4 linked regions of the Arabidopsis thaliana genome follow. The protein of the gene in region 4 interacts with the protein of the main gene of each other region in a pairwise test. Each region holds a gene or a part of one and is shown on either strand. Other genes may lie near its edges.

What was found.
Region 1: the proteins of GIF2 (region 4) and GRF1 interact in binary tests that used the Arabidopsis thaliana proteins (3 or more experiments, as listed by UniProt).
Region 2: the proteins of GIF2 (region 4) and GRF2 interact in binary tests that used the Arabidopsis thaliana proteins (3 or more experiments, as listed by UniProt).
Region 3: the proteins of GIF2 (region 4) and GRF3 interact in a two-hybrid assay, tested with the Arabidopsis thaliana proteins (2 studies listed by BioGRID).

Annotation. Positions count from the first base shown.
Region 1 is NC_003071.7:9,724,748-9,732,795, forward strand, and holds GRF1 (growth-regulating factor 1), read left to right. Parts: upstream 1-3,732; 5' UTR 3,733-4,093; coding exon 4,094-4,421; intron 4,422-4,584; coding exon 4,585-4,797; intron 4,798-5,042; coding exon 5,043-5,415; intron 5,416-5,715; coding exon 5,716-6,394; 3' UTR 6,395-6,554; downstream 6,555-8,048. Other genes in the region: SQE2 (squalene epoxidase 2), read right to left, coding at 1-393, 462-636, 724-835, 1,095-1,523; bZIP6 (basic leucine-zipper 6), read right to left, coding at 7,854-8,048. UniProt on the Arabidopsis thaliana protein: Transcription activator that plays a role in the regulation of cell expansion in leaf and cotyledons tissues.
Region 2 is NC_003075.7:17,723,338-17,731,446, reverse strand, and holds GRF2 (growth-regulating factor 2), read left to right. Parts: upstream 1-3,537; 5' UTR 3,538-3,837; coding exon 3,838-4,258; intron 4,259-4,350; coding exon 4,351-4,563; intron 4,564-4,867; coding exon 4,868-5,219; intron 5,220-5,292; coding exon 5,293-5,914; 3' UTR 5,915-6,110; downstream 6,111-8,109. Other genes in the region: bZIP7 (basic leucine-zipper 7), read right to left, coding at 6,730-7,647. UniProt on the Arabidopsis thaliana protein: Transcription activator that plays a role in the regulation of cell expansion in leaf and cotyledons tissues.
Region 3 is NC_003071.7:15,269,588-15,277,821, forward strand, and holds GRF3 (growth-regulating factor 3), read right to left. Parts: upstream 3,529-8,234; 5' UTR 3,031-3,528; coding exon 2,817-3,030; intron 2,719-2,816; coding exon 2,527-2,718; intron 2,517-2,526; exon of another isoform or gene 2,313-2,516; coding exon 1,958-2,312; intron 1,149-1,957; coding exon 713-1,148; 3' UTR 501-712; downstream 1-500. Other genes in the region: SBE2.1 (starch branching enzyme 2.1), read left to right, coding at 1-125, 210-353. UniProt on the Arabidopsis thaliana protein: Transcription activator that plays a role in the regulation of cell expansion in leaf and cotyledons tissues.
Region 4 is NC_003070.9:68,739-75,742, forward strand, and holds GIF2 (GRF1-interacting factor 2), read left to right. Parts: upstream 1-3,618; 5' UTR 3,619-3,844; coding exon 3,845-3,931; exon of another isoform or gene 3,932-4,176; coding exon 4,177-4,278; exon of another isoform or gene 4,279-4,348; coding exon 4,349-4,425; intron 4,426-4,548; coding exon 4,549-4,657; intron 4,658-4,749; coding exon 4,750-5,002; intron 5,003-5,083; coding exon 5,084-5,145; 3' UTR 5,146-5,358; downstream 5,359-7,004. Other genes in the region: AT1G01150 (Homeodomain-like protein with RING/FYVE/PHD-type zinc finger domain-containing protein), read right to left, coding at 1,377-1,547, 2,102-2,230, 2,303-2,983, 3,204-3,260; AT1G01170 (ozone-responsive stress-like protein (DUF1138)), read right to left, coding at 5,367-5,512, 5,600-5,705; AT1G01180 (S-adenosyl-L-methionine-dependent methyltransferases superfamily protein), read left to right, coding at 6,895-7,004. UniProt on the Arabidopsis thaliana protein: Transcription coactivator that plays a role in the regulation of cell expansion in leaf and cotyledons tissues.

The sequences.
Region 1 (8,048 bases), on a different chromosome or scaffold from region 4:
GGTACTTGAGGCGCAACCCGTGTTTTCAGATACTTTGCCATTTCACCATTTGCAATGGGAGGAAGTTTTTGACCCGGTACATCTACTAAGCAACGGACTTCAGAACTGCTGATGGGATACATTAAGATGGGTGATGGGTCACCGAGAACAACGTGCCCGTGATTTGCAAATGGAAGTTCACAGTTCTCCAAGACAAGACCCACAAAAGTAGATGGCACATCCACCTTAGGTTTGCAAAGAGAGCGACGCAAGTTGGAGAAACAACCATCACATACAATTGTGAGAGGAGCAAATGATCTAAACTCATTGCCCTCTTTTGTTCTGTATCGAACCCCTTTAATTGTCCCGTGTTCTTCAAGCAACGACGTAACCGTTCCTTGTTCCAATCGTACACTGATTCACAAACAAACCGTTAGAGTCAAGCTGGATTCAATTAAAGAAACAATCAATATAAAGATTACTTTGAAAGAGTAAGGGCTTTTTCTCGCATTCTCTGTACAAATCTCCCATTATGGAAACTTCTCCCGGCTACATCCGAATCAAACGTTTCCAAGGGGTAAGCAAGTTTAGTATGCTTCCCATCTTTAAAGAGAACATAACCAAGAACTCGTTGAGCATCAATCTTCTTCACACAATCTACAATCACAAAACGCAACTATAGAACAAAAATCGATTCCAAGTATATATATATATAACAGTTTAAGCTCATTAGTTAGTCTCTACCTTCAAGTCCAAGTTCTATTAACTTCAAATAACCACCAGGTTGAAGCAATTCACCAACGATTCTGTCTTGCTCAGAAAAATCTCTTTCTATAACGTGCACTCTTCTTCCTTCCTTCAATAACCACACAAAGGCCAAAATTTCAGACAAGAACTTACGTCTCCAACACACAAAAATCAGACAAGTATATATCTCCAATGTTCCGGGAACTAATATCACATCATTTTTGTGATCTTATTACAAAAAATATAATCAAAAACAAATTATATTACAAAATAAATGTTAAAATTTATTGAAATGAATTTAGAAAAATAAATTTTCATGAATAAATTTGGAGAAATGCAAAAATCAAAAATTGAGATTATAGACTTGCCTTGCCGAGAGTATGAGCAAGAGCGGAACCGGCGACACCAGCTCCGACGATGATCACATCAGTGCCAGAATCAACCTCCGTTTCAAGATTTTTGGATACGGTATCGTTTTGGGAAACGACGAGTCCACGATTCTTCTTATTCTTATTACTACTCCGACGCAAAATGTAGAGAAGCAGAAACGTAAATAGAGAAGCTATAAATTGATCCAACGCAATCTTCGCCGGTTTCATCATCACCGTGGAGTTCACGGCGGAGAGTTTGAGTGTCTGCGCCGCCGTTGCTTTCCATCGGCGAATGTAGGTGGCTCCGGTGGTGAATCGACGAGTAGAGAGAGAGAATCGAGAAGAGGGGCGATGATTTGTGTAGAGAAGCGAAGATCTAAGAGTTGATTGAAATCTTGGAAGGTTCCTGATTACGAATGGTTTCATAATTTTTTGTTTAGTTTAAGACAAACGAATATTGCTAGATCAAATATCTAGAACCGAACTAAAACCGAGAAAAGAAAAATTCTGAATTGACTCCAAACCGATAAATTATTCCAAAGGATTATAGACTTTTATACTCAAAATATCGGAATAAAATCCGAATAGATATCCAATATAATAATTATATTTAAATTTGATGTAGTCTAGTTATCCAAAAACTAAAACCATAAACTTAGGAAAGTAATTACTTTTATATTTAAAAAAAAAAAAAAATCGAAGTTTTAGTTTTTTATAAAAAAAAATTACTATTTTTAAATTATTTTTTAATATTCCAGGTACTTGAAATCGAACCGAATCTGGAGAGATCCGGATCAATCAAGTCCAGAAAAAACCAAACCAAATAATTGATTGGATCTTAAATCTTTATATCCAAAGTACTTGAAATCAAATGGATCTACTCGAAACCAAACTGAATTTCTGTTTAGTAGTAGTAGCTAGTGATGGGAGTGTAACATTATTGTATTTTTGAGTAATAATAAATTTTCTTTTGAATGAAAAAATAACAAAATAGTTTGTTAATTTTATCAAATGTATATTCTTAATCCCATAAATAATCTAATAGAGCAAAAACTTGCAGTTTATACCTTTAAGGTTTTGAATTCTTATAATAAAACGTTTAGTTGTCAATATTGCTACTTTTAACCTTTAAATGGTTATTGTGTTCAGGGTTCCACAAAATTAACTGACAAATTGATTATGTTAACAAAAGATATTCATTTTTGTTATAAATATTGATATGACTCTAATAATTATTTTTCTTTTAGTAAACTTTTAATATCTATTAAATTTTATATTTATGACTAATAAGATATTTGATAAAAAAAAATCATAAGATATTTTATAAATCAACAAAAATATAAAAACATTTTTGTTTTGGGTAATAATTATATTTTAAACTGTTAATAAAAATTCCATTACTAATAAAAAAATATTCTAATATAAGTTAACAGTATTTTTTGTTTTTACGTTGTCAACTTAACGTAGTAAATATTTCTATTGTTTAATTCCAAACCATTAGCTATTAGCTTAAAGGCAAGTGTTTTTTTTCTTCTTCTGTTTGTCTTAGAAAGAACTAGTATGGTTTGGGTTCATATGAGGTGGGTATCAGGTTATCACGTGCATGGTTTTAGTATAGTTTGGATCCAGCTCCCATCCTAGACTTCTAGGCACCTTTAATATTTGATTACGACGAAAAGGCTTATGTGAATCGAAAAGCCCAACTTCTTAATTTCAAAGCAAATTAAAAAAAAAAAAATCATTTTAACCTTTTTGGAAAATAGAAAGGTAAGGTGAATTTGAATTTCTGAACATTTGATACGAATGCAAAACTCAAGATGCACATTTTTCAAAGTAATGCCCCTAGAATTGTTTGCAAAATCTGCTGTCTAAAATTTTTTTGCTAGGATCGAACCGATTTTCGATTGGGATAGACACGAATTATAAATCATATTCTAATATCATATTAGATTATAGACTTCCGATTCAAAACTTATTGGCAAAAAATGAACTGACTCATATAATTTATATAACCATTAAAATCTTATCTAATTTCTGATTTAAGGTTTCAAATACAAATTATTCATAACCTAATTGATATGAGTTTCACTAGCGATGAATATGATGTACTTATGTACTTATGTTACATAAGGGATAAGGCCATTTGAAAAAAAAAAGTTGTAATAAAACTTAAACCCAAGAGATAGGATTGAAAAACATAAATGGCCCATGTAACTATAATCAGCTGGGGTACATTGGAGAACACCATTAGACAGTCCAAATACAATTGGGAACCACGTGAATCTGATAGATATTTGATACTCAACTCAATACTATATTTATTATTTCAATACGACAATCTCATTCTCTAACTTCTTTCATACTAAAATCTCACTTAAAGTATACCCCATCTTTCCCTTTGCAACGTTTGGTAAAAATGCATACCATAACAAATTTTAGAGCAAAAAGCAAAAAGCAAATGAAAATTCCTTTCTTAGGGTTTGAAGTTGAAACTAGAGAGACATGTCTCACGTGGTGTCCACATGTCTTTTATCTTAAAAAGTTCATTGTTTGCTTCCTCTATAATTATTTTTCTCATATCACAAAAGTAACCACAAAATTATTAAAATCTTAAATAATACATAAATCAAAATAAAATCATACGTAGAGCATCTGATTATAGTTTTCATTTCTTTGTAGTAACATGTCCGAGATCTTGATTGTGTTTTCGGTACCATTCTTTGTCTCCACCCAAAGCTATATCATATCTCTCACTCCCACAATTATTACTTTTTGTTATTATTAAATAATAAATATCCTTTCTCCAAAATAATAAAAATAATATCTAGAGTATAAAATAAAATAAAAAAACTTAGCCTCGTTCTTCTCCCTCTGTCTCTCTCTCTCTCTCGGTTCTCTTCTTCACTGAGCTCAAAGCGATTACCTCCCATGGGAAAAATCTCTGAAGTGATTATTTAGCACTACTTTTTCTTTGTCTCCTTCTGAATCCATTTTTTATGGATCTTGGAGTTCGTGTTTCTGGTCATGAAACCGTTTCTTCTCCGGGTCAAACTGAACTCGGATCTGGTTTCAGTAACAAGCAAGAAAGATCCGGTTTCGATGGTGAAGATTGCTGGAGAAGTTCAAAGCTCTCACGAACATCAACTGATGGATTCTCTTCTTCCCCTGCCTCTGCTAAAACGCTGTCGTTTCATCAAGGCATCCCTTTACTGAGATCTACCACTATTAATGATCCTCGTAAAGGACAAGAACACATGCTTAGCTTCTCTTCTGCTTCAGGCAAATCAGATGTCTCACCTTATCTTCAGTACTGTAGAAACTCAGGTCTGAACTGTAAAAACAACTAAAGTACTCTGCTTTTTTTTTTTACTTTCTTGAAAATCAGTATATGGCTTTTGCTTAGAGTTAGATTACAGAAATGGGTTTTGATTAGAGTTTGATTTAGTGAAGTCTTGATTTTGGAATATTGGTTTTGTTGTGGTGTCAGGATATGGTTTAGGAGGAATGATGAACACAAGCAACATGCATGGAAACTTGTTGACAGGAGTAAAAGGACCTTTTTCATTGACTCAGTGGGCAGAGCTAGAGCAACAGGCGTTGATCTATAAGTATATCACAGCCAATGTCCCTGTTCCATCTAGTTTACTTCTCTCTCTCAAGAAATCTTTTTTCCCTTATGGTTCCTTGCCTCCTAATTCTTGTAAGTTCTCTTCCTTATCTTTTGTTTTCAAAGATTTGAGATTATTGATCAATAGTTTTGATTCCTTTTATCTCCAATACATTAGCCAAGAATTAACTTTATACTATCTTTTTTAGTGTATAGTCCTTTGGAACATTGAATCTTGTATGGATTGGTGGTGGGTTTATTAAAGATTCTTGCTTTGTTAGGGGAATGGTGTTTTTATGAGATCTTGAGAGATTTTTTTGTTTTGTGTGATTATGAAGTTGGATGGGGCTCTTTTCATCTGGGCTTTTCCGGTGGTAACATGGATCCCGAGCCAGGGAGATGTCGCCGGACAGATGGAAAGAAATGGCGGTGCTCGAGGGACGCTGTTCCCGATCAAAAGTACTGTGAACGACATATTAACAGAGGCCGCCATCGTTCAAGAAAGCCTGTGGAAGGCCAAAATGGCCACAATACTAATGCTGCCGCCGCTGCTTCTGCTGCTGCCGCTTCTACCGCTGCTGCTGTGTCCAAAGCGGCAGCGGGGACTTCAGCTGTTGCGATGCGTGGATCAGATAATAACAATAGCCTTGCCGCTGCTGTTGGAACACAACATCATACCAATAATCAATCTACAGATTCTTTGGCTAACAGGTGAAAACGTTTAACATCTCTTGCCTTTTTGATATAACTTATCTGCATATTCTTAAGTTTTTAATGTTCATACCTTTTTCAACTTTTAAATACTTCTTTGCCCTATGAGTAAGTAGTAGACCCACCAATTCATTATTACTACATCTTTTATGATTGTGACCACTCCTTATTAATATGAGGCTTAGGATTCCATATATTTGGATTTTTTTGCTTTAATGAACTGTTTACTCTCCTTTTCTTGATGATTCAATGATGTAACAAATTAACAAGAAATCTTAATGGTTGTTTGTTGCATTGCAGAGTTCAAAATTCTCGAGGGGCTTCGGTTTTTCCTGCCACGATGAACTTACAGTCGAAGGAAACTCATCCGAAACAAAGCAATAATCCCTTTGAATTCGGACTCATCTCTTCTGATTCGTTACTTAATCCGTCGCATAAACAAGCCTCGTATGCAACCTCTTCCAAAGGCTTTGGATCGTATCTTGACTTCGGCAACCAAGCCAAGCACGCGGGGAATCACAACAATGTCGATTCTTGGCCCGAAGAGCTGAAATCGGATTGGACTCAGCTCTCAATGTCAATCCCTATGGCTCCATCTTCCCCTGTTCAAGATAAACTTGCACTCTCACCTTTAAGGTTATCGCGTGAGTTTGACCCCGCGATCCACATGGGATTAGGCGTCAACACCGAGTTTCTTGACCCCGGGAAAAAGACGAATAACTGGATACCAATCTCCTGGGGTAATAACAACTCCATGGGAGGTCCACTCGGCGAGGTACTAAACAGCACGACCAATAGTCCCAAGTTTGGTTCCTCTCCAACAGGCGTCTTGCAAAAGTCGACATTTGGTTCTCTTTCTAACAGCAGCTCGGCAAGCAGCACCATCATTGGCGATAACAACAATAAGAACGGTGATGGAAAAGATCCGCTTGGCCCGACCACGCTGATGAATACTTCTGCTACTGCTCCTTCTCTGTGAAACTGAAAAAAAAAAACTAAGGACAATTGCGAAAACAAAAACACTCTGTTTTTCTCTGTTTCTGGTTTTTCTTACTTGATGCATTGTTGTTTCTGTTGCTGTTTTCTTTCTATATAAAGCAAGAAGAAACTAAAGGAGAGATGTGTGTTTTTTTCTTCATAATCTTTGTTCTTTGTTTTTCCTCTTATTTGTTCTCAATCATCAAATTCTTGATTTTATTGTTCCTCTTATAGCCGTTGAGCTAAATCCCTGGTTTTAAGAAGTCTATGTACACAATGTTCTAAAACTGAAAAATATACAAATTTTTACTTTTTTCACTAACCACAAAATTAAAACCAAGTGTTAGTGTCACAAAATTTGTGATCCTTGAGAGATTTTGACGAGAGGTTTCCTAGTTGCAGACAAGAGGCAACATTGTTTGTGGATTGGACATAGAACACTTCTTCAAAACAACTGTCTCCAACTTTAGTTTTTTTTTTTTTTTTTTTGGGTTCTGTTTCTCCACTTTTGGGTCCCTGTAACTACTTTTTGCTCTTCTCTCTCTAACCCTACCTTTCACTTATTCCTGTTTTTGTTTTTCTTCAAGAAAAAATGAAATTGATTATAAAGAGTGGAGGAGGACCAATCTCTCAATGTATGGATGGTCCATAACGTTTTTAATTTGGATTTTTTTGTGTAATTTTTGGAGATTTTATTCTAACACGTGGCATGTGTGGGACGATCCAGACACTTCCACTTGCACTAGACACGACAATTCTTACCGAATAAATATCTTCACTAGATGCAAGATGCTTCAAGACTCAAGAGTACAGTATTAGATATAGTTTGGAGTACATAACCTTGTTGCTTTCATATGATAAATTTAGTGTTAGATCATTAACAATCTTTTCCCAAAATGGTTAATGGTTAATGGTTAATGGTTAATAGTTTTGCATATATTTTAAACAAATAATACGTTATTCAAATTTGCATATATTTTTCTAACTATACTTAATTCCGTCTACGTACTTGATAAAAAAAAGGCTTGTAGGAAGAATCTTGCGGTCTGTCTACTTGAGGAATAAGAAGGAATCAAAGAGGAAACAAGCTGAACATGGGAATTGGGAAGTCTGTGAAAGACTCTGGTTGACGTAGAGGTTTCATTCCAACCCTCAAAGCCGACGACTCCAACTTGATGCAGAAGGTTTTAAATACATGATAGGGTGGTAGTCGTCAACAAGAGTAGTTGATTAGGCTTATATCTTTTAGCCCACTCACTAATGGGCCTTGATAAATATGATTAGAGAGGCCCAAGTACGAAACAACAGCAAAAAAAAAACGAAGTCCATCATCTAAAGTAACACTCATATTCTCATTTACACATAAGAGTGATCAAAAGAGACACAGAAATAAAAATACTTCGCTTTTATCTAATTTTTTTTTTCCGTTCTAAACTTTTTTTTTTCTATTTTTTTTTCTTTCAAATCATATGATGATGATTGATGATCAATGATGGATTCAGCTGAAGCTGTCTGAAAATCAAAATCTGCCTCATCTCCAAGAATCTCCGTCTGAGAATCTCTTGTTCCGACAAAAGCTGATTGTTGTCCGTACACATTAATGCGATGTTGTACAAAACAATTCGAAGCCGGTTTGCGAGTTCCCGGTTTTCTAA
Region 2 (8,109 bases), on a different chromosome or scaffold from region 4:
ATTGTTTTTCTTTGCTACTTCATACATCCCTTCTCTCAGCCACTCTCGTTTTCAGCTATTTCTCTTACATTCCATATTACTCCTTTTACGTTTTTAATAACCAAAACCACACCTAATTACCTATTAACCAACAGAGCTAATGACAAGTTTACTTCTTTTATGTTGTTCATATATCACATGAAAATGAATTCGGATACCACGACTTCTAAATCAAAATATCCTTATCTAAAGATACAAAACTTCATATATCATTTGGTTCCGGATAGTTACTGATTCATTTTCTATTACATATACTCTTCATTTAATAATCTGTTAAAATTTTATGTTATTAAAACCGTTACTGGTTAGAATAACATAAAGTAAAAGAGTAAATATTTTTCTATCTTATTTATCTTATCTAGGCATAAATGCACACGGCACACCTAATGAAAAAGAGAGGAAATTAAATAAGATGAGTCCACATGTGTATAGTAGAGTAGCGCATGAGCTTTTTAGGCTTTGACTAAAAACTTAAACCAAAACCAAAGTCCTAAAAACAGATTTGACGACAAAACCACTTAGGTAGGTGTCTAACAAAAGTCACAAAAGTCTAACCCTAAGACTAAAGAACCTATCTAGTATCATATCTCTCACCTATCATGTCGACACTCTTCATGTGTCCCACATCCTCCCACACGCCACCCAATGTCCTCCTACTTCATTTATTCACCACATCTTACCCAAATTTACCTTTTTACCCACTATTTTTTTCCTTGTTCCCAATGTTTTTGTTTCTTTTTTGGCTAATTATTTGCTTTTTTGGGAAAACAAAATACAATTGTTTCAATCTGTACCCAATAATTGAGTTGTCAAAAAACTCAAAGCCAATTTTGGTTTTGGCCGAAACTACCATACGAAAGGAAAATACTCATAGTTCGATTTTAGGGTTTTATCTGTGTTTTTTTTTACATTCAATTCATAATATTTGCATGCATTTATATTTATATATACTGTTGCACGTTTTTTTCCTTGGCTAAGTAAAGGGATTTATTCCACAAATACGTTTTATAGTCCTGACAACACCACGCTCCTCCTCCTGCTTACTATGATTTCCGATATTAGTTAATTAGTTAATAATATACTAAAATACTATTATTGTCACTGAAAACGAAACGCATCTATATCATCATATAAGATAATGAAAATTGAAAACGATATATTTTTAAGTAGTCCAGTTACTCGGTTACATCAATAATTAATCAATTCTCCTAAGTTTATTTCTTATTATCGAATGATTGGTGTAACTAATGTAGTAAATGCTCTACAAGTACGAGTGGTACATGATGAAAATTAATTAATGTGACGCGATTAAGATAACAAATAATAGGATGCTATGTATTTGTGGAGTCACATACTCAGCCTTTGAAGACCAAGTCAATATAATTTGTTTCAAAAAATGAAAAAAAATGAAAGAGAGTAATAAATCAAATAAATACTGTTACTGGTTATCACACAAATCATATCTAAAGAATGTAAACTATGTACAACACATCTACATTTTCATATGTTATGATCCATGAAACATAGTATAGATATACAATTTCGTATAATTTTACCGTTGTTTATTTGTAGACTATCTAGAAGTGTAAAATATTCGGATATTTTAAAGTCTGCATCCCTTTCCCAAAAATGCCTTGGTTGCATAGATAATTGGTTTTATTATCTTTGATTTTGTTTATTGTCATTGGTTTTGTAAGCAGGGGATATAGGTCGAAACCTATGCGAGAGAGAGGGGACTAAGAAACGTACAAAAGGTAGCCCGCAAAAATTAATGTAAAACAATGTTATTAGCTAGTACATTGGCTAACTTCTTTGGGTTTTCTATCAACCATTGATTTTGCAAAACAGTAAAATCTTTAAAAGTTAAAACTTGCTATAACTTAATCTCTCGTCAATAATATTACGAATCCTAAAGTTACAAGAGAAAAAAATAATACGAACAAAATGGAGCATGACTAAAAGAAAATCAGATCTGACGTAATTATGAAATTAAACCAAAATGTCGTATTTAACTACATAATATTATGTGGAGTGGTAATTATTTACATCATCGATGCATGAACACCACATGTGACTTTTTGTGAGTTAGTTTCTTTTTAGGACATTTACGCAAAGCTTTAACTAACATATACGTTTCTTGTTGGATGGTATTGGTAGTAACACTCTTATCTTTTTCCATTGTTATTATATTCACTTTGCTCCACAAGCTAGTCAATTTGCTGATATAGTTTTAGTGTTTTTTTTTTTTTTTTTTTTTTTCATATTTCAACATTATACAAAAATTATAAAGAAACTGTGATGGACAGTTCAATAGCAAAGTTTGGAAGTGAATGATATTGAATGGTTTTCAAGTTAAAATCATGAGTACGACGTCTGTATATATCATTCACATAAGTTCATACTATATTGTGAAAAAAAGATTATCTAATCCTTTTGTTGTTCATTGGTTTTACTGTTTCTATTATATGACATACCAATGATCCAACCATCAGATTAATTTTATGATAAATAAAAGACAATTCGCAAATTATTACCCGAAGGCATAACTGAAATCGGAGTGTCACTAAATTTATGGTCAAAGCAAATAACGCTTACTAACCGCATCAGTCCAGCAATTTTAATGAACAAAGAAAATAAATCCAGTGAAGAAAAAAAAAGAAAAAAAAAAAAAATCCAGCAAAGTTATATCCCAAACTACTTTTTACTTGCACTGATTACATATGTAATCGAACACATGGATCAATAACCGTTGATGTAATATCACTCAAGAATAGAATTGGCCCATCCGATATATGTAACTTAAATCCTCGGGGAGACGACCAAGAAGATGGTCCAAAAATATCATTGGAACCACGTGAATCTTGATAAATATTTGGTACTCCACTCAATACTATTATTTATTATATGAATAGGACAATTCTTTTATTTGTTTCCTAGACTAAAAATCTCACTAAAAGTGTGAATATATGTGTATATAGTATAATATTCCAAAAATCTCACTTCAAGTATACCCTTTGTTTTCTTCTGCAAATTCTGGTAAAAACAGGCATTACAAATTACAAAATATATCAATATATATTCACCTCCTCTATGAATTAAGACTATTACTATAAGTAAAAATGTTGCTATATTTCTAAAACCACTAATATTTTTCCTTTTGAACATTACAAAAATAATCTAATAACTCCACAGGTTACAGCTAGTTTCTCCCTTTTTTTTAACAATGTTACAGCTAGCTTTCCCTATATGCACATATATCACAACAAAAGAAAATTACTAAAATCTAAAATAATAACCCCCATAAAGAAAAATGCCTACAAATTGGGAAATATGTACTGCAAATAATACAGAAATAGCCTACGTTTTCTTATAGAGAAACTACCACCATATTATACAACTAATTTGGGACCATAAATTTACACAACTTGAAACAAATTGGAAGCTAAGTTTGTACCTTTAAAGCAAGCAAAGAAAACTTTACAAAACAAAGAAGAAGAACTAAAAGCAAAATTAATGAAAAAGCATTGGATAAATATGTTCTAACATGTCCGAGATCCGGATTGTGTTTTTAGGTACCATTCTTGTCTCCTCCCAAAGCTTCACCACAACTATTTTCATTTTATTTTAAAAACACATAATAATATATATCTCTTTCAAGAAAATCAAAAGTAAGCCTCGTTCTTCTCCCTCTGTCTCTCTCTTCTCTCATCTTTAGCTATCTTCCTCCCATGGCAACTATCTCTCAAGTCATTATCTAACTTTTTTTCCTTCTTTTTCTTTTTATATTACTTACTTCTTATGGATATTGGTGTTCATGTTCTTGGGTCGGTTACTAGTAATGAAAATGAGTCACTTGGTCTAAAAGAGCTTATAGGAACTAAACAAGATAGATCCGGATTCATCGGTGAGGATTGCTTGCAACGAAGCTTGAAGCTAGCAAGAACGACAACTAGAGCGGAAGAAGAAGAAAACTTGTCTTCTTCTGTTGCAGCTGCTTATTGCAAAACGATGTCGTTTCACCAAGGCATTCCTCTCATGAGATCTGCTTCTCCTCTTTCCTCTGATTCTCGCCGTCAAGAACAAATGCTTAGCTTCTCAGATAAACCAGACGCTCTTGATTTCAGTAAATATGTCGGTTTGGATAATAGCAGTAATAACAAGAACTCTCTCTCGCCGTTTCTTCACCAGATTCCTCCACCTTCTTACTTTAGAAGCTCAGGTTTGATAATGTCTTCTCTTTATTGATTGGATTTTGGTGAAATGGGTTGTGTAAAATAATCAAATTTTTTACATTTTTGCTGTGGAATGCAGGAGGATATGGTTCTGGTGGAATGATGATGAACATGAGCATGCAAGGGAACTTCACAGGTGTTAAAGGACCTTTTACATTGACTCAATGGGCTGAGTTAGAGCAACAGGCGTTGATCTATAAGTACATCACAGCCAATGTCCCTGTTCCTTCTAGTTTGCTCATCTCTATCAAGAAGTCTTTTTATCCTTACGGATCTTTGCCTCCTAGTTCCTGTAAGCTCCATCTCTTTAACACAATTTCTAGTTGCACATAACTTTCCATTGAGCGATCACTTGTTTGTGAAAGTTTTGGGGTTTTGATCAACTCATTTGTGGTGTGGTTGCTTAATCCAAGAATCAGATTTTATCTAGTCTTTTATGTCATTTTGGTGCTAAATCCTTCATAACATTGCTCATAGGGTTTTCAAGATTTGTCTTGTTGGTTGAAAAGTCTTTACAACAATGGTTGCTTTTAGGATTTTTCATAGGGAATTTTGTTATAAATGGTTAATGAGTGTTTATGTTCGGTTTTGTGTAGTCGGATGGGGAACTTTCCATCTCGGTTTCGCAGGCGGTAACATGGACCCTGAGCCAGGGAGATGCCGCAGAACAGATGGGAAGAAATGGCGGTGCTCAAGAGACGCCGTTCCTGATCAGAAATACTGTGAAAGACACATCAACAGAGGCCGTCATCGTTCAAGAAAGCCTGTGGAAGTCCAATCTGGCCAAAACCAAACCGCCGCTGCTGCATCCAAAGCGGTTACTACACCACAACAGCCTGTTGTCGCTGGTAATACTAACAGAAGCAATGCCCGTGCATCAAGCAACCGCAGCCTCGCCATTGGAAGTCAATATATCAATCCTTCTACAGAATCTTTACCTAACAACAGGTGAAAACAGATTTTTAATACTCTGCATATTCATTGTTAGTTCATATCTCACTTACTGACTCTTGCAAAACAGAGGAGTTTCGATATATCCTTCCACCGTCAACTTACAACCCAAGGAATCTCCGGTTATTCATCAGAAACACAGAAACAACAACAACCCTTTTGAGTTTGGACACATATCCTCTGATTCGTTACTCAACCCGAATACCGCAAAGACCTATGGATCATCGTTCTTGGATTTCAGCAGCAACCAAGAGAAGCATTCAGGGAATCACAATCACAATTCTTGGCCTGAAGAGCTGACATCAGATTGGACACAGCTCTCAATGTCAATTCCAATAGCATCATCATCCCCTTCCTCCACACACAACAACAACAATGCTCAAGAAAAAACAACACTCTCGCCTCTCAGGCTATCCCGCGAGCTTGACCTATCGATCCAAACCGATGAAACAACAATCGAGCCTACTGTGAAAAAGGTGAATACTTGGATACCAATCTCATGGGGAAACTCCTTAGGAGGTCCTCTAGGTGAAGTACTAAACAGTACAACGAATAGTCCAACATTTGGATCTTCTCCTACAGGGGTTTTGCAAAAGTCCACATTTTGTTCACTCTCTAACAACAGCTCCGTGAGCAGCCCCATTGCAGAGAACAACAGACACAATGGCGATTACTTTCATTACACAACCTGAAAACTGAAACCAAGTCCTGCGGCAGGAAACAAAAAAAGAAAAGCTCTGTTTTTTCTCTTTCATTATGTTCTGTTTCGTCTTTCTAAAGCTTAAAGAGGAAATTAGAAAATCGTTGTTCTTCTGATTCTTTCTTCGTTTCCGATTTCTGAATCATTTGTTTGATAATCACTTCATATAATCACAATCTTTATTCTAATTGTTCAGTTACAAACTAGGGTTTATCTTTGCTCTTTCATCAAGGGAAAACTTTTAGGGTCGTAACAAAAATGGACTTGAGGACCTAAATTATTGTTGGGCTTTATGTTCCAAAACTTTATTTGGGCCGAGATAGGCATTTTAACGATTAAGATATATTATGTAGTGATATTACAGTATTTGGGATCGTGGCAACCGGTTTATTAGGCTTGGTTTAGTACTTTAAAATACAGTGTATCTTTTCAACAATTATGGGCGTTGTAGCATGATGTCAATGCGCATAAAGCCTTTCCAGTTTCCACTAAGTAATAATGTAAATCGTTGTATTAATTTAATAACTCTTTAAGTTATTTATCTCATACACGAGAGTGGGAAAAAGAAAACCAAAATAAAAATCTGTTTTGTTTTCCTTCTTCTCTAGTGTAGTGGAGTCACAACATATAGAAAACGAGAAAGTGGAAAGGAAAATTAGAAAACTATCATTTTCTCTTCCTAACCTTCATTTCATTTACATAGAGAGATAGAGAGACATAGCGAGAGTTTCTTTTTTGCTTTGCTTTTTTTTTTTGGTTATTGTTCTAAGTTTTTCGATATTTTTTCTTCTTAAATATTTTGATCTATCATTGAAGATGAGGGTGGTTTTGTTCAGTCATGATCATTCTCCGGTTATGTAGTTCCCATTGTTGCTGTTGTTGAAGTTGTCTAATGATCAGAATCCGACGCATCTCCGACAATCTTAGCCGGAGTATCTCTTGTTCTGTCACGAGCCGGTTATTGTCGGAATTCACTCGTTGAAGCTGGTGTAAAACTAACCGGAGTCGGTTCCCGAGCTCACGGTTTTCTAAATCCAACCGGTTTACTTGCTCTCGTAAGTTATCAATGTGACTTTGTTTACGCATTCTTGACCGTTTCGCTGATTCCCGGTTTGACTCCATCCTCTTCCTCTTCCGCTCGTCGGTCATCTCCGGTTGGATCATTTTTTTCCGGTTATGGTTATTCTCTCCCGAACCGAAATTTGTGATGGCTGTCAATTGTTTTGTGTCGTCCGAGTCCGGTTCATCTGCTTGAGAGCACGGTAGATCGTTTGATATGTCGGCGTCGTCACAACGAGGATTAATTTTGACGAAACCGGCACAAGATTCGTCAGAACCGGTTTTCATGTCATGAGAACCGGAATTAATTTTGACGGAACCAGTGTCGGATTCACCATAACAAGGACTAGGGATGGCCGGTTCAAGAGACATTTGGTCCACGAAAAAGAGATCAGAGCAATCCCATTCCCAAGGAGTGAACCCGGTTTGGAAACCCGAGAATTGATTAACCAAACCCGGTTCGGAGAATGAAAAGGCCGGTGCAGTGGACAACATAATTGCTAATAATTTTTCTAATAGAGAGATGAGAGAAATTAGAAGGGGAAAAGGGAAGAATTGCATTGTTGGAGCTTGATATTTATGGACAAACCAAGGGGTAATTTGGTCATATTTCCAAAATACGATGTAAGACCGTAGACTATACTGTATAAACAGCTTTTGAGTCATGTTGCACTATGGTGGGGTTAAAAACTTGAAAATTTTTATTTGGCAGAGCCAACTTTTGTAAAAGCAGGAAATATTGTGTAGGGCACCAATAGCTTGTTTTGGGTCCATATAACAAAAATAAATTAACAAATTTGAAAATTATGTAACCAGTAATAGCTTAGTGATGAAGAAAACAGTCCATATTTCACACGTTTTAAGAAATTCAAGAATGAGATATTTCTTTACACTCCTAGAAAAAGTTTAACTTTTCATATTGGAATTGAATACTTCATATAGTTTTCTCTCATTCTTGTTAGAAGATTCAACAAAAAAAACAAAAAATTATCAATTCCATATTATCTTCAATAAACTTATCATTTTAGTTAGTGATTAGATAAAACAAAAATTGTATGTGAACATATGCTGGTTAATTATGATATTTACAGTCAGAATAGAGTAATTTGTGGTTCTTTATGTTCACTG
Region 3 (8,234 bases), on a different chromosome or scaffold from region 4:
ACAGTTACTCTGACTACCGTATCGGTTGCTCTGTTCCCGGAAAGTACAAAATCGTTTTGGACTCTGATAACTCTTTATTTGGAGGCTTCAACCGGCTAGATGACTCCGCGGAGTTTTTCACCTCTGTAAGCCCTTTAACTAAGCGAGAACGAAAAGAATAAACTCTTTTCTCCAAGTCGTTACAAAGGAACTAATAATTTGCTATACAGGATGGAAGGCACGACGATAGGCCTTGCTCCTTCATGGTGTATGCACCGTGCAGAACCGCTGTAGTTTACGCTGCAGTAGATGATGATGATGATGATGAACGTTCTTCTCTTGTCCCCATAGGCCTGTTACCCGAAGATGTTTAGGAGCAAAGACAGTTGTCCGAGTTTACCTACTGTAAGCTTCTTTGTACTACAAAAATTTACTCGTTGATCTTCTTCTCCTTTAGTTTTCGCTTGCAGCATCATTATAACTTAAAAATGAAATAAAAAGTCGTTGCACTTCTACATTTTGCCTAAGCTTCATCGTAGATCCTATTTAGACATGAATTTCCAAAAACAAATCTTTGAGGATATAAAATCTGCAGAGAAAGGCTACAGATACAAGGGAAATCTTAAAAGAAAAAGGGAAGAGGACAACAAAAGCCTCCCCTCTTTATACAGGAAATTTGGATAAAAACCAAAAACACAGTAAAAACCGCATTGTTGTGTTGGTTTTACACTGGTCAATGAAAGGCTTGTGTCGAGACACCAAGCTGATGGAGAACACTGGTTGGGGAAGATGAGGAAGAAGATCTCAGGGCTTCGGCCAATGGTCCGCCCATGTTGTGATGATGGTGGTTGGAACCTCCACCGCTCCACCAGCTCATGTTTTGCTGATCTCTCCCATTGTTGTTGCTCCGGGCTCCCTCTTCGTTGCCTGTGGACAGCTTCAGAGAGACGTCTGAGGAAGAGTTCCCGGGCATGGAGATGGAGAGACAAGTGGCTGAGCTCATGGGGCTTGAACTATTGTCAGCTTCTTGGAGCGAAGAACGAGGCCAATCGTCAAAGAAGGGCCTCAGGATGTGTCCTCCATCTGATCTGTTGTTACTGAATCCGATGTGGGACTCGTATGGCCTCTTGTTGTTCATGTTGTTGCTTTCTTGCTTCATCTCCGAACAACTGTTAACAGAATCCACATCTCATTGGTGAAAACAAAGCACAAAAGCAATAATTTGTCAAAAGAGAAACCACATTTAGGCTTCAACAACAAAGTTGCAGACAGTAGTAGCCTTTATATTAGTTTATAGGCTTTAAAAGTACCTTTTAATGTGGGTTTTATAAGAATTGATTAAGCAGTAAATAGAAATAGAATTATAAAGTGAGTGTTTTGTATATCATGTGTTGTGTGTGGATAGGGGAGGTGGGTGCAGAAGAATCTAAAAGCTTTAACTTTTCTGCAAGATATGAGACATATATGGGTCAGCTTTCACTAAGGTCCTACCATTTCTCTCTCTTTCTATTTTCTCTGTTTGAAAAGTCTCACACCTAGCTTCAAATTATAGATTCTATCAAATCCAATGTTATCATTATCTCTCAACACAATAAGAAAAAAGAAAGAAAGATATTTTCACAATGAAATCAAACTCATAATTCAACAAACAAACAAACCAACCAACCCTAAAATGATAAGGATGTGTCTCTCAATTTCCAACATTACCCCTCTCTTCACAACATCGCTATGAACATACAAACCAAGTTGTGTATATCATTAGTTCATACTTCATACTAATAAATCAAGAATCAGTATTGCTTTAAATCGATTTCATTATTATTCAAAACAATTGTCTAAAATCTCAACCATGAATCTTATTGGCTCAACACTAAAGAAATAAAAAAGTCAATGTGTTTAAGTTTAATGTTTTGACCATAAAGTTCAACAGCTAAAACAGACAGACCTAAGAGAAAAAAAAACAGTTTCTTTTTATTACCTTTGACTAAGGTGGAGAAGTTCAGATGAAGAGTTAGAAGAGCCAGAGAAGAAGAAAGATCCTCCTTGACCAACCACTTCCTCACTACCACCACCACCACCAAAAGCAAACGTAGATGTTGTTGTTGCTGTTGTAGTGGTGGCTGCGGCTGCTACTGATGAAGCCATGGACGTGGCAGTTGCATTGACGGTGGTTGGAGTTTCCACAGGCTTTCTTGAACGGTTGCGGCCACGGTGCATGTGGCGCTCGCAATACTTGTGGCCAGCGAAGACGTCTCTTGAACATCTCCACTTCTTACCATCCGTTCTCCTGCATCTGCCTGGCTCAGGATCCATCGCTGCCCTTCCCAAATACCCTGTTTTCAACATTCATATCACATATCAGATCAATAACAAGATTCTAATCCTACTTAATCCCATTCACACATGTTTAGATCTTCAAGATTGGCAAAACGAGATAATATACTAATATTGAAAGTCTGGATCTTGGGAACACAACTCCAACACCAGTAGCACAAAACCCATTTATATTTAAAAAATAGATAGATGAAGACTGTTCTCGAGACTCACAAGCAGGTTGGTAATGAGGTAGGTGTTGAAGAGGATGGTGAAGAAAGTAGGAAGGAGATAGATGGAGAAGGCTTTTCTTGATTGGTAAAAGGAGCTCCTGAGGAACAGCAGCACCAGCCAACATGTACCTGTAGATCAGAGCTTGTAGTTCAAGTTCTTGCCACTGTGCCCAGCTAAAGAAGCTCCCCATCTCTACAAAAAGGAATCAAAATCAATTAAACACAAACTATATGAATGAAAAGTCTAATTCTTTATCAAGAAAGATAAGATAAGAGGAAGAAAAGACTCACTGGGGAACCTGGAGGAAGAATCAGGAGACAAAGAGGAGAGTTTAGAAGAAGTAGGCTCAGGGGTAAAGAGAGGAAGAGCAGTAGAAGTTGCAGTGTGAGAATGAATCTGGTCAAAGACATGTTTTGGTATCTTAGCTGCAGAAGGTTGTTCTTCTGACTCTGTCTGATGTTGTTGCTGCTGCTGGCTTCTCCATTGTTTCAGTTGCAAATCCATTGAAGAAAGAGAGAGAGAAGTGTTGGTTACTTTAAGGATAATGGTTTTTCCCCTTTTTTGTCTTCCAGGGTTCTGATTTAATAGCTTATGAAAGTCTTGTTGGTTGGGTTACGAAGAGCAAAAGAAAAGAAAAAAGAACTTTCTTTGCTCGAAGGAAAAAGCTTTGTTCTTGGTAGTCAGTTTCTGTATCTGAGCTTCTTCTGCAGAGAGAGAAAGGACAGAGTAGAGGGAAAGAGGTTTTTAATAGAGAGACTTGCGAGAAAAAGACAGTGAGACAAGACAGATGCGGGGAGAAAATACTATACAGTAAAAAAGACTACTACTATAGTATAACTCTTTATTAATTGTGTTCACAAATCTCTCTTCATTAATCTCAAAGACTATTTAAAATAATTGGTTTAACATTTGTATCAATAAAAAAATGAAAAGCAAGTCAGAAAACCCAGAAAGAACCACTCTGCAAGATGAAGATGGAGAGATAATAACCTGCAGTTTTTCTGTCTTTGCTGCTTTGGAAATACCAATCTCCATTTTTATATTAGTATAGCTTTTTAATTTGTTTTATAATGAAAACAAAAGCCTACTTGTTAAGAATATTTAATTAGTCTTTTAACCAAGTAATTTAGATTATTTAATGAGTAAGCGTTACGTCGATATAATTTGTAATTTGCATTTGTGACAAACCTAACTACTTTTAAATTTGAATTAGTATAAAATTCGTTTAGGTTCCTATATTATCATATCATACGGCACTAGATGTAGTACTTGCCACTCTATTTTCTTTTTTAACTGATTAATTTTGTACCTTCGTTCATAGATCTAGTCCGAAAATGGTAATATTAATTCGGGTAGAATCGGCTGAATTCTTGGTGGAATGAATCTGTTGCAGAAAAACTGAAAATATTATTTTGATATAATTATTTTAAAGCGTTATGCCAAAATTGACTGAAAAATTAATCAAACTAACATAACTGGTGGGAAAAAAAATGGAAACATGAGTTTAATAAATTCATCAGGCTAGTTGAACATGGATGGAGCCTCGAGAGAGAATCCCGGGTTAGCAGCAGCGGGAGGTGCGGTGCGTGATGGGAACGAGAACTGGGTTGGGGTTTTTGCTTTGAATATCGAAATCTGTTCAGCGCCACTAGCAGAGTTGTGGGGACTCTACTATGGGTTACACATAGTCTGGGAGCAAGGAATAACACGCCTTGAGCTGGAAGTGGATTCGAAGATCGTGGTTGGGTTTTTACAGACAGGGATACCGGATTCTCATCCTCTATCTTTCCTACTACGTTTGTGTTATGGCTTCATATCAAGGGACTGGTTAGTCCGTATTTCTCACGTGTATAGGGAGGTCAATCGTCTTGCGGACGGGTTAGCTAACTATGCGTTTTCTTTACCTCTTGGTTTGTATGTTTTTAATTCAGTTCCGGATTCTATTGCTTCTTTTGTTTTGGAGGATGTAAATGGGCCTGCGTTTTCAAGAACTATCCGAATGTAATTTCGTATTTTCTTTTTAATAAAATTGGCGGATTTTCCCCCTTTTCCTACCAAAAAAAAAAAAAAATCATCAGGCTTGAGAAACATTAAAAAAAATGGTTGTAAATGTTTATATTTTAAGTGATAGTTAAGTGAATTATAAATATTAAAAGTATTCAAGTAATTTCTCTATTAGCAAAGTTGCAGAGATTCTTGGAAGTTTTTTTGCCAAATAATTGTTAGCTATTCAAGATTTTTGTCAAAAACTTTTATACGGCGTGGTACGAGTTCATGTTGTCTTGAGTAAACATGACAAATGCATCCTTGTTTATGAGAACTCTTAGAGCAAGGTTAATCCACCTGAGGGTTTTTGAGAGGCCCGGATGCTTGAAGAGTATCGTATGAAGTTTTGGTTGTTGGAAGACCTCGGATTGCGTCATTGCGGAAATGTTAAAGCGAACGGCTTCCACAGAGTCTCAGCATATCCAAGGGAAAAGTCTCATGGGCGTCATCGCCTATACGTATTGCATTATTAGCTAGTTCAAAGATGTGGGAAAATATTTCATCTAACTATCACTTCTCTGTTTTTTTTTTTTTTTTTGACATCCATCTAACTATCACTTCTCAATCACTATGTATCTCATGTTTTCTTTAACAAATCTAAAAGAAAATGAATTCATGAATTGTATGTCAGAATGTTTAGCTAAACTCAAACCCCGAAGCTTTAAAATAATGGTAGAACGATGTCTCAAGAGTCTTAGGAGTCATGTATTAATTATAGAACAAACGACTACTTATGAGTTATTATATCTTTTACAGTTTTACTATAGACTGAAACCAAAATTTTCTGGTTCAAATTTGGTTAAGGTAGGCAAACTTTTGGTCCAATAATTTCTTTCATCTTTTATCAACGGTTAGATTTTGTATTCTATTCAATTTTGTATACAACAATTACATTCTTTTTGGGTTGATTTAGGTTTTACATTCGGTTCTGACTGAGGTAAAAAAAAAGATAGAAGAAGAGAAAATGAAGTAAAGAGGAGAGAAGTAAGTAATAATGAGAAAAGAGAAGCAGGTGGGCTGTGTCAGAGAAAGCTCAGAAGTAAAAAGCATAAAAGTGAGTAACCAAGTGGGTGGTGAGGGTTTGTTTCTCTTTGGGCTGTGATTCATCTTTGATTTGACTACTCATAGTACTTCTTCTTTTTCTCACTCTTACCCCCTCTCTTTTCCTCTATTTTTCACTTTTTACCCTCATAAAATCTTTATTCACATTTTTCTCACACTCCAATTCATTTAACAAAATTTTAATCACATAATACAAAATCTTAATCACATTTCCCTTTTCACGGTTTATCTTTCTATAATTTTAATAAGTTTCATATTATCTGATGAAAATTAAACATCAAACTTTGTTATTTATAATTTTAGTAAATAGATTTTTTTTCTTTTTTATTTCATAAGAGATTAAGTTATTTAATGTAAAGCTTCTCTTGACTGTATAATATCTTAACTATATTATTCTTATAAAATTTCTCAAATTTCAATAACCGTATTATGTTAGTCTACAAAAAAAATTATATTACATCAATATTCTTACATACCAAACTAAGATATATATTGTCCAGTTCTTTTCATGGCATATGTATTTTACATGCTCTATTTTAAAAAATTACTACGTGTTTCAATATCAGTATTGTTGAAATTATACACCCTCCAACGAGTAAGGAGATAACCCATTACAATGCATTGGCACTGATCTACATGAACATGACTGACCAGATTTAACCATTCGAGCAAACAAAATAATAAGTCAACTATATTTTGAATAGTCACAAAACTATACATCGTAATTACAAAACTATTTCTGACATATAAGATTAATAGGTTAAAAGAACCACCGTCGAATCGTTGATGTACGTAGTAGTAGTATCGTATTAACGAGGCAATGATATAACTATCAATATTTTTCGTAAGAAAACACAAGTTTCCTTATTCTTTTCTTACGTCGGCGATAAAAGTTAATGTCGTACTTTGATTTATGAAATTGTGATGGAAAATTGTTTTAATTAATTAAGAAGAGAAACGAGTTATTTGTACAAACAAATCTGAAAATATAGAAATAGAGCAAAGGACAGAGAATAAGAAGAAGAGGCAAAGGAGGGCGAGAGTTCACATGTTCAAGAGAAGACAAATACGTTTCTCTGACACAAATCTGTCAGACCAATATTTTTAAATATTTTATTGTATAGTTTTTATTTTGTTTTGTTGTATGAGAAAGAAACGTATATTATGTCTTTATTACCACCACAAGGGGTCAGGCTCCGTCCACTTGGGGTCCCAATTTTTTCTTTGTTACGAGTTTTTTTTTGTAGTAAAAGGCAAGTCACGCCGGCACGCGAGCCCTCACGTGATCCCACGTGCTTTATTTATTCTCTCCATACCAAAATTTCTTTTCCTTTGTTGTTTGGTAAGGTTTTTTCTTTTTTGGCCAAAATATGATATTGGCGAGATTGAAAACATGTATATTTTTAAAAAAAATGTAGGCGTAAAAATTATGTTACTAACACTTCATTAAGCATATGCCAAGATTTTTAAATTAAAATTTATATATCACTATTGGTCGTTTTTTTTTTTGTGTGTGACAGCAGCTCACTATTGGTTGTTTATATTAACCACATACTAAATAAGGCTAGCTACTACCAAACTTGGACCAGAACCTAACACATGATGTTATTTTTAGTAATATGAAAAAAAAGAAACGAAAAGGAAAAAGGAAAGAATAGATCTTTCTGGTGAGAGAGCATACACAACACATTGGTGACACAAGGTATCTAAGGGCATGACCGCACGTGTCAACATGCATCAAACATGCGATCTTTCAATATTAGTATTATATATTTAGCAAAGACGCAAAAGAATCCAAGGCAAAGACTACTTCGCCTGCATGTCATGCCAATCTCTCTCTATATGTTTTCTAATCAATATACTAGATTACTAGACAAGTTGTTTTCTAATAAGATCTCTCACATATGAGCCAATTTGAGCCAAAACATGATATGATGGATAAAGCTTATTTGGGTATTGAAAGTATAGAGACTGTCAATGAGAAAGTAGTCATTTGGGCCCAAGTACAGAGATTTAAACCTTATCAGGAAAAGCCCAATCCAGTACAAACTTGAAGAAAAAGATTGATCTCCTTGTAAGTTGCAACTGGTAAAGAATAGGACCTTTGTTCAAGGTCTACTGTATTGAGATACTGAATTAGTATAAACGGCCACTTAAAACTACTTTGTATTTGTTTAGGCCCAAAACATTGGACTATCATGTTGAGAAAATAAACACGAACGCAACAGAAGTTTCCTACTTATTATATAGCCCAACAAATATTGATCTCTTTGCTTCCAATGAATCTTTGTTAAGGCCCAAAAAATACAAAGCCGAAACTACTTCCATCTTGTACTATTTTTAAGTTTATTTTTTGGAAATTTTACCATGTATGATTCAGATCGTTGGTTTAAATTTTTACAACTAGAAAATAGTATATACTCTATTAGCCTATTATGATATTAATTAATGGGCAATATTTCGATTAGTTTACGTGTAGAGTGTAGTGATAATGTATTTAGGTTTTGACCGGCAATAATGCATTTGTAAGAAAAGTCTTTGGACAATAATAGCTTTGGTCAAGTCAATGTAGAACAGAAGACTAATTTCTCTTGACAAAA
Region 4 (7,004 bases):
TTATTGGATTATATGGATTAAAATTTAAAACCTATATAAACCAAACTATTATTTGGTTTGATTTTGTATTTACTTTCGGTTTAGCTTGGTTTGTAGATAGTTCGAGTAGACCGAACATCCGAGTCCTACATATATAAGAAAGATTGGCCCATTAACCAAATTTAGGCTTGATTGTGAATTAACATTAGGGCCCAACTAAAATACTTTTTTTTTTTTTTGCCATCCAATAACATTATTATCGCATATGTTCCGCATCATCGTTTACACAAATGATCAAATTGACCAAGTTAAGTTTCTTTTCTCTTTTTCTACATAATATTTGTTATTTAAAGCATTTGTATAAAATTATATACTGATAAGTGATGGTATATTCAATAATTTGTGTTTGTCTTTTTGTGATACAATTAATTATCCTTTATGGTTCCATTTTTTTTTCGTTGACAACGTTGAACAAAGATGGTCAAGGGGCCTAACTGTTTCTCACACAGTTTCCTTTCAGGGTTTAGTATTTGCCGTTTTAGTAACGAAGTTAGAGATTCATACGTATAATTATAAATAGTAGAGTCGGGTCAGATTGTGTTTCTTATCTAATTGTTATATATATAAAATTTGATAAAGCATATAATGTCTTGAAAGATTCAATCGTGAAATATGTGTACAAATATGTAAAATCTAGTTGCACCGCACGGCACCTTTTTTTCCTTCCTCTCCCACGTTTATTCTCGCCTCGTAACAGAAATTATAACTTGGAGTACTATTATAAAATACCTCAATAATTTTAGTTCTAAAAACATGTATATCTAAATCTAAACCATTGTGTATTTTGGAGTTGTAGGAGTTTTTTTTGTAGTAATTTAGTAATACATAACATAAAATGTGTCTTATGTTTAGATTTGCCTTTCATACATTGACCAACCTAAATCGGAGTCGGACCAGCTGGAAACTGGTCTAAATGTTTAATCGAGTTTTAGGTACCCTATCTAAAACCCAAACACAAACTCAGTTTTGCTCATAAATAATCTCTAAAAACCAAACACATTTCGTTAGAAAAACGACTAAAAACCGAGTTTAATTGAAATATACTTTCTAAACCGACCTACACGAACCGGAACCCGACTGCATATATACTTACTTACTCATACACTCTAACAATATAGAATCTATTATTGTCATCCATCTTTTCTTTCACTTCACCTAACTCCCAGTAAATTAATTAATAAAAAGGCGAATCATAACTTGTTTAGATCCTCTTGCAAATGAACCACGAAAGCAGCATGAACACGAATATGAAGAAGAGGACAAGGAAGGAGAAGAAGAGTACGTCGTCAATGGTGTTCTTGTATTCGATGATTGTGAATATATGTGGAGGATTGTTTCTAAGTTATTGGCTTTACAAATACCATCCCACAAATTCTAATCTTTGGATGGTTCCTGTTGGACTCATCTTCTTCATCACTCCTGCGTTTCTTTCCCTCTCCATTTTGATCTCCGATCTCTGCGACGACGATGATGATGTCAATCTCGACCTCAACCAAATCAAGATAATTCTATAAAAGTTTTGACTACTTCAAGTGTTGTCGTTTATTTGGTATTAATTATTATTAACCTCCGTACAAATGGAAGACTTGTGGTTTTATTGTTAAGTTTGTAGATTTTTTCACCTTTGTTTCCGAAACATTTGGTACTTGTGCGACAAGTTATCTCCCCATAGTCTTAAAAGATTAACCTATTTTTAAGTTCTTCAAAATTATATCCATAATTCCCATATGATTCTCTTTTTCTCAATCCTCTGTTTTGTTTAAAGAAGGGTACAAAACAAAAGACTAACAGAGTGGGACGGCTACTACAAAAGACACGTTATCTTCTCTTAATATCAACATAAGGGATACAAAGCGAACATCATCTATAAGGACTACTGTTACCAAAAGATCTACACGGAGGAATCCGAAACTGCGATTACAAGGAAGGACTAACATCAAAGTCGTCACACTACTATACTGCCAATTCAAAAGGTCACTAGGATTTGTCTTAATGTTTTTGATATCAAATGCGTCATTTAATACTTCTAAGGATTTTATGGTGAAAGGAATCACATACGCACCATATTTCTCCATTTGTCCTTAAGATCGGAGGAATTACGAGTTGTGTGGAATATACCTTTTCCCATCTCCAAAATCTTCTTCCAAGGCATGTTTTTGTTGATTGTATCAGAAAATTTCTCCACTCCCTCCTATCCAAAATAAACATATACTATAAGTTTAAGCTAAAAGTGTATTTCAAGAAAAAAGTGTGGTGGTTTTACCCTCAACATCTTCTCTTCGTTGACTGTCCATAGTACCCTTTTTGGCTGATCATTAACAACAGCATAAGCTTCTCCGCAAGATTTCTCCATATCAATGAATTGATCTGTTGACTCGTCTAACTGGGAATTTCGAGCCTTAAGGTGCTTGACCAGTTCTTGTAATTGATGAAGGTTCTCATGTAGTTGCATTGGTAGTGAATTATCAGAACCATTCTCTAGTTGACTGTTTTCTCTCGTCATGACTATATCTCCACTCCTCAGCTCACTACATCCATATTGAACAAGGGTCTTCGCAGCTGCAACACCCCTTGTTCTCAAAGCCGTGGATCTAGTAGCTTGCTCCTTAAACCAACAATAGGGACAGTAAAAGGTTGCAGGATCTTCACAATCAAGCTCAACACACTTCCTGTGAACAGCGAGAGGGCATTCATTCCCAGAACAAGGTACTACACCATCGTCTGCAATATCGCATACAATACATGCGTGTTCGTTCAACGGCTCAAAGCTTCTGAAAGTGTCACTTGTCCCAAGGTAGTGGCGCTTCTTAAGAGGCACATTATCATAAGTGAAAATGTTTGGAGCAGAGTTGACGTCCTCATCACCACCATCATCACACTGAACAATACAATGAGCAATGCGCTTTTCTCTCACAAAGCCAATTTCTTCAACAATTTCACCTATCTAAGATAGAGAAGAAGATAAATCCAAGTAAGAGTGTTTACACAAAATTGAACTAAATCGACCAATTTAAGGTTATCTAAGACCAATTAAGACATAATTTGTTCTAATTACACAGTAAAAAATATCAAATTGTTCTCTAACGTATCACAAGCGACATCCGAGTAAAGACTAAAATTCGAGAAAAAATAAATTAAAGGTTTCTTCTAAAAGGGGTGCTTACATAAGGACTCTTGAGGAGAGCGATATCATCTTCATCAAGCGGGAGATCACTCACCATTTTTTTTCAGATTCCGAGTGAAGATTTGAGAAATTCGAAGGGTTTACGTGAGATTTCTTAACGAATAAGAAAAAGAAGCTACTGTATGTTACCGTTTGGTCTCTCTGTAAGTGTGTCTGAGGTTTCGAAATTTCGAATTTAGGCGAAGAAGGAAGAAACTGACTCAATGTAGTACTTTGCAATGTAACTTTCTCGATGGTCCATGGGCCTTAGAACCGTCTTAGGCCCAAATATGTCCTTTTTTCCCATTGGCCCAAATATATCCAAAACTTTCTAATTTGGTTAGAGGTTGCTCGTTGCTGTATTAATTAATGTTTTATGTTTTCGTTTAGAGTTTTGTAAAGACAAATTAGAGAGAGAGAGAGAGAGACAGAGGCATTTTTGGTCATAAAATCCACACAGAGGTGGTTCGACATCCAGGTGAATCCAAGTAATAAATTGCAGGATTCTCTCTCTATAATATATATAGATATAGCTTGCAATCATTTCCTGCGTTTGGATCGGTCTGGGTTTTGTCGAGGGTTTTTTGGGGAAGACGAAATTAGGGTTTAGTTGGGGCAAAGTAAGTAGTAAAGAAGAAGAAGATGCAGCAGCAGCAGTCTCCGCAAATGTTTCCGATGGTTCCGTCGATTCCCCCTGCTAACAACATCACTACCGAACAGATCCAAAAGGTTCCTTCTTTCTCACCCTATATCTCTCCCTCTCTCTTAATTTGTTCAACACTACTTAGGAGGCTCTTAGAGCTTTTTTGTACTGACAAAATCATTGGCTTCTGAGTGCAAGTAATACTCTTTTGACTGTAATTGGTGGCAATTAGGGTTTTCATTTGAATCTTTCTCGTTAATTCCACAACACTTGAGAGTCTGTTGTTGGTGATGATGAGAAGAGACAGTTTCTAGGACTAGGAAATTAGTAGATGCTTGGTGGGTCAGGAAACTTTGAATCCGGTTTTCAAGAATGGACATTGAAGTTAGATGCTTGCTTGATGTTGTTGTTTTGTACTTTCTCTTGGCTTGATGTCTTCCATGGTAAGATGATAGGCTGCATCGTCATTTCCTTGTCATTCTCTTTCCTTTGCTTAAACGCAGTACCTTGATGAGAACAAGAAGCTGATTATGGCCATCATGGAAAACCAGAATCTCGGTAAACTTGCTGAGTGCGCCCAGTAAGTCTCACCTTTTCTATCCATCTTCTTATGTCTCTTAGATAGTAATGGAAGCTTAGAATTACTATTATTAATGGTGAGGTTTATATAGTTATTCTATCTTTTGCTCTGTTATATTTTCAGGTACCAAGCTCTTCTCCAGAAGAACTTGATGTATCTTGCTGCAATTGCTGATGCTCAACCCCCACCACCTACGCCAGGACCTTCACCATCTACAGCTGTCGCTGCCCAGGTTGTTTGTGATGATAAAACTCAATTGCGATCTATCACAGAAATTTAATGTTGTTTGGGGGTTTGCTTACTGTTGGGTATGATTTCTGTTAGATGGCAACACCGCATTCTGGGATGCAACCACCTAGCTACTTCATGCAACACCCACAAGCATCCCCTGCAGGGATTTTCGCTCCAAGGGGTCCTTTACAGTTTGGTAGCCCACTCCAGTTTCAGGATCCGCAACAGCAGCAGCAGATACATCAGCAAGCTATGCAAGGACACATGGGGATTAGACCAATGGGTATGACCAACAACGGGATGCAGCATGCGATGCAACAACCAGAAACCGGTCTTGGAGGAAACGGTAACTCTCTTTACATTATTAAGACAATACTCAATCTCATAAATTGTAACTTGTATCCATTACTTCTTTCTTTGCTAACAGTGGGGCTTAGAGGAGGAAAGCAAGATGGAGCAGATGGACAAGGAAAAGATGATGGCAAGTGAAAAGGATCCAAAGAAGCTTTGTTTTGTTGATATTTAGGACTTGTGAGTCTCGTAAGGGCTTTTTGCAATAGCTTGTTTGAGTTTTTTAACAGAAGATAGACTGTGGAGTAGTTCCGCAAACCGTGTTGTAATGTATTGTTATTTAGTACAAGCTCGGATTTAGAAAACATCGTCATCGTTCATCTTATTCTGAAAATCAAAGCATTGAACTTATTATTTTCTCATTCCGGACGAGTCTTGACGATGAAATTCTGACGGCTAATGGGATTCATAACAACGGGAGGACCAGCGGTTCTTGGCCATGCTTGGAATTTCTCATCCGTTGCTGCCCACCATTCTTTGTTAGAGACAGTTCCTGGAGTAGTCCCTGAAATTTTCACAAGAAGATAACCATTAAGATCGTCCCTAACTTGAAAACACACACAAAACTAGATAAATCTTGAGCAGAACTTGCCTCCAAAGATCTTATTATCAGAGATAACTTTGTCGAAGATGTATGAGATTCCGAAAGAACCGATGAGAGCACCGATTATGTACTTGGCTTTACCTCCTGATGCCATTTTCTTCTAAAGCTGAAAGTGAACCATTATTACAACTTAACACTCAACTCACAAGAGGAGAAGCAACAAAGCTTATGTAAGGATTTAGTATTAAGGCCAAAAAAACACAGATCAAATTCAATTATTGAAGCTTTACTTATCAAGTTATCATATAACCAATGAAGACGGTAATTCAAAAGAAAAATAAAAGGGTTTGTAGAATAATTGATACGTTTACCTTTGCCGATTCAGAGACAGTGAAGCTTAAACAGTGGACTCCAGTTCCAGAAGAATTCAACGGTGGAAGACGGTCGTCCAACTCTATCGTCTTATCTCTTTAAAAACTTTGGATAAATCTCTGTGAAATTACCAAAATGGGCATTGTTTTCTGAAACGTTAATTACTAGTTTTATTAAGAGACAAAACTACAATCATCACAAGGGAAGATATAATAGCAAATCTACTAGTTTGCTGAATTTCATCATACGTCTAGCTCGAGTAATTGTTATAACCAAAACCTGTAATATGCTAATTTGCTAGTTGATATGAATTTATTTATTTATCAGTAAGGAAAGGTCCAAGTGTCCAACATTGTTTTCGGCGTATGACACATACTCTATTATAAGATGATCTCGGCGAATGCCACATATATTAAACACTACACTTTAATTCTTGCAGAATTACGATTCAAAACTCTTTTTTTCTTTATTCTTTCGAATCAGTGCTGCATTTGACATGTTCAAAACATGATTCTACTTATTATTGACTATTGAGGTCGTGTCGTGTTATAACATATGATTTCGTTGGAAAACTGTAAATACACTAAAGATTAGAGATTCGTAGTTTCATTTATTAATAGGTCTAGGGGAGTTAAATAAGTTTTTGTTTTATATGGTTTTTCTAAACTCATAAAACCCGAAATACAGAATGAATTAAGTCAAGGATTAAAGCAAATGATTTTGATTGTAAATGACTACATCACATGTAGCTTTCTAGACACGTAAAGTCAAATAAATACAAATAAATTAGATCACGACGTGAGCAATTTCCTTATCCGACTGTATTTAAACGTCTCAACAAACTGACCCGCCAAAATAATCATAAATAAATTTCCATAATTCGAATTATATAAACTTAATAACAAAAACAATTATCCTTCCTTAATCCTATTTTGTTTTTACTTGATTCTTCATTCTCAGAAATCTTGACCATGAAGGAGGATCGTCGTCTTCCTCACAAACGCGACGCCTTCCAATTCTTGAAAACCAAGGCTGCGTACGTTATCGTCATAGTTCTAACCTACGCCTTTGGTTACTTCTC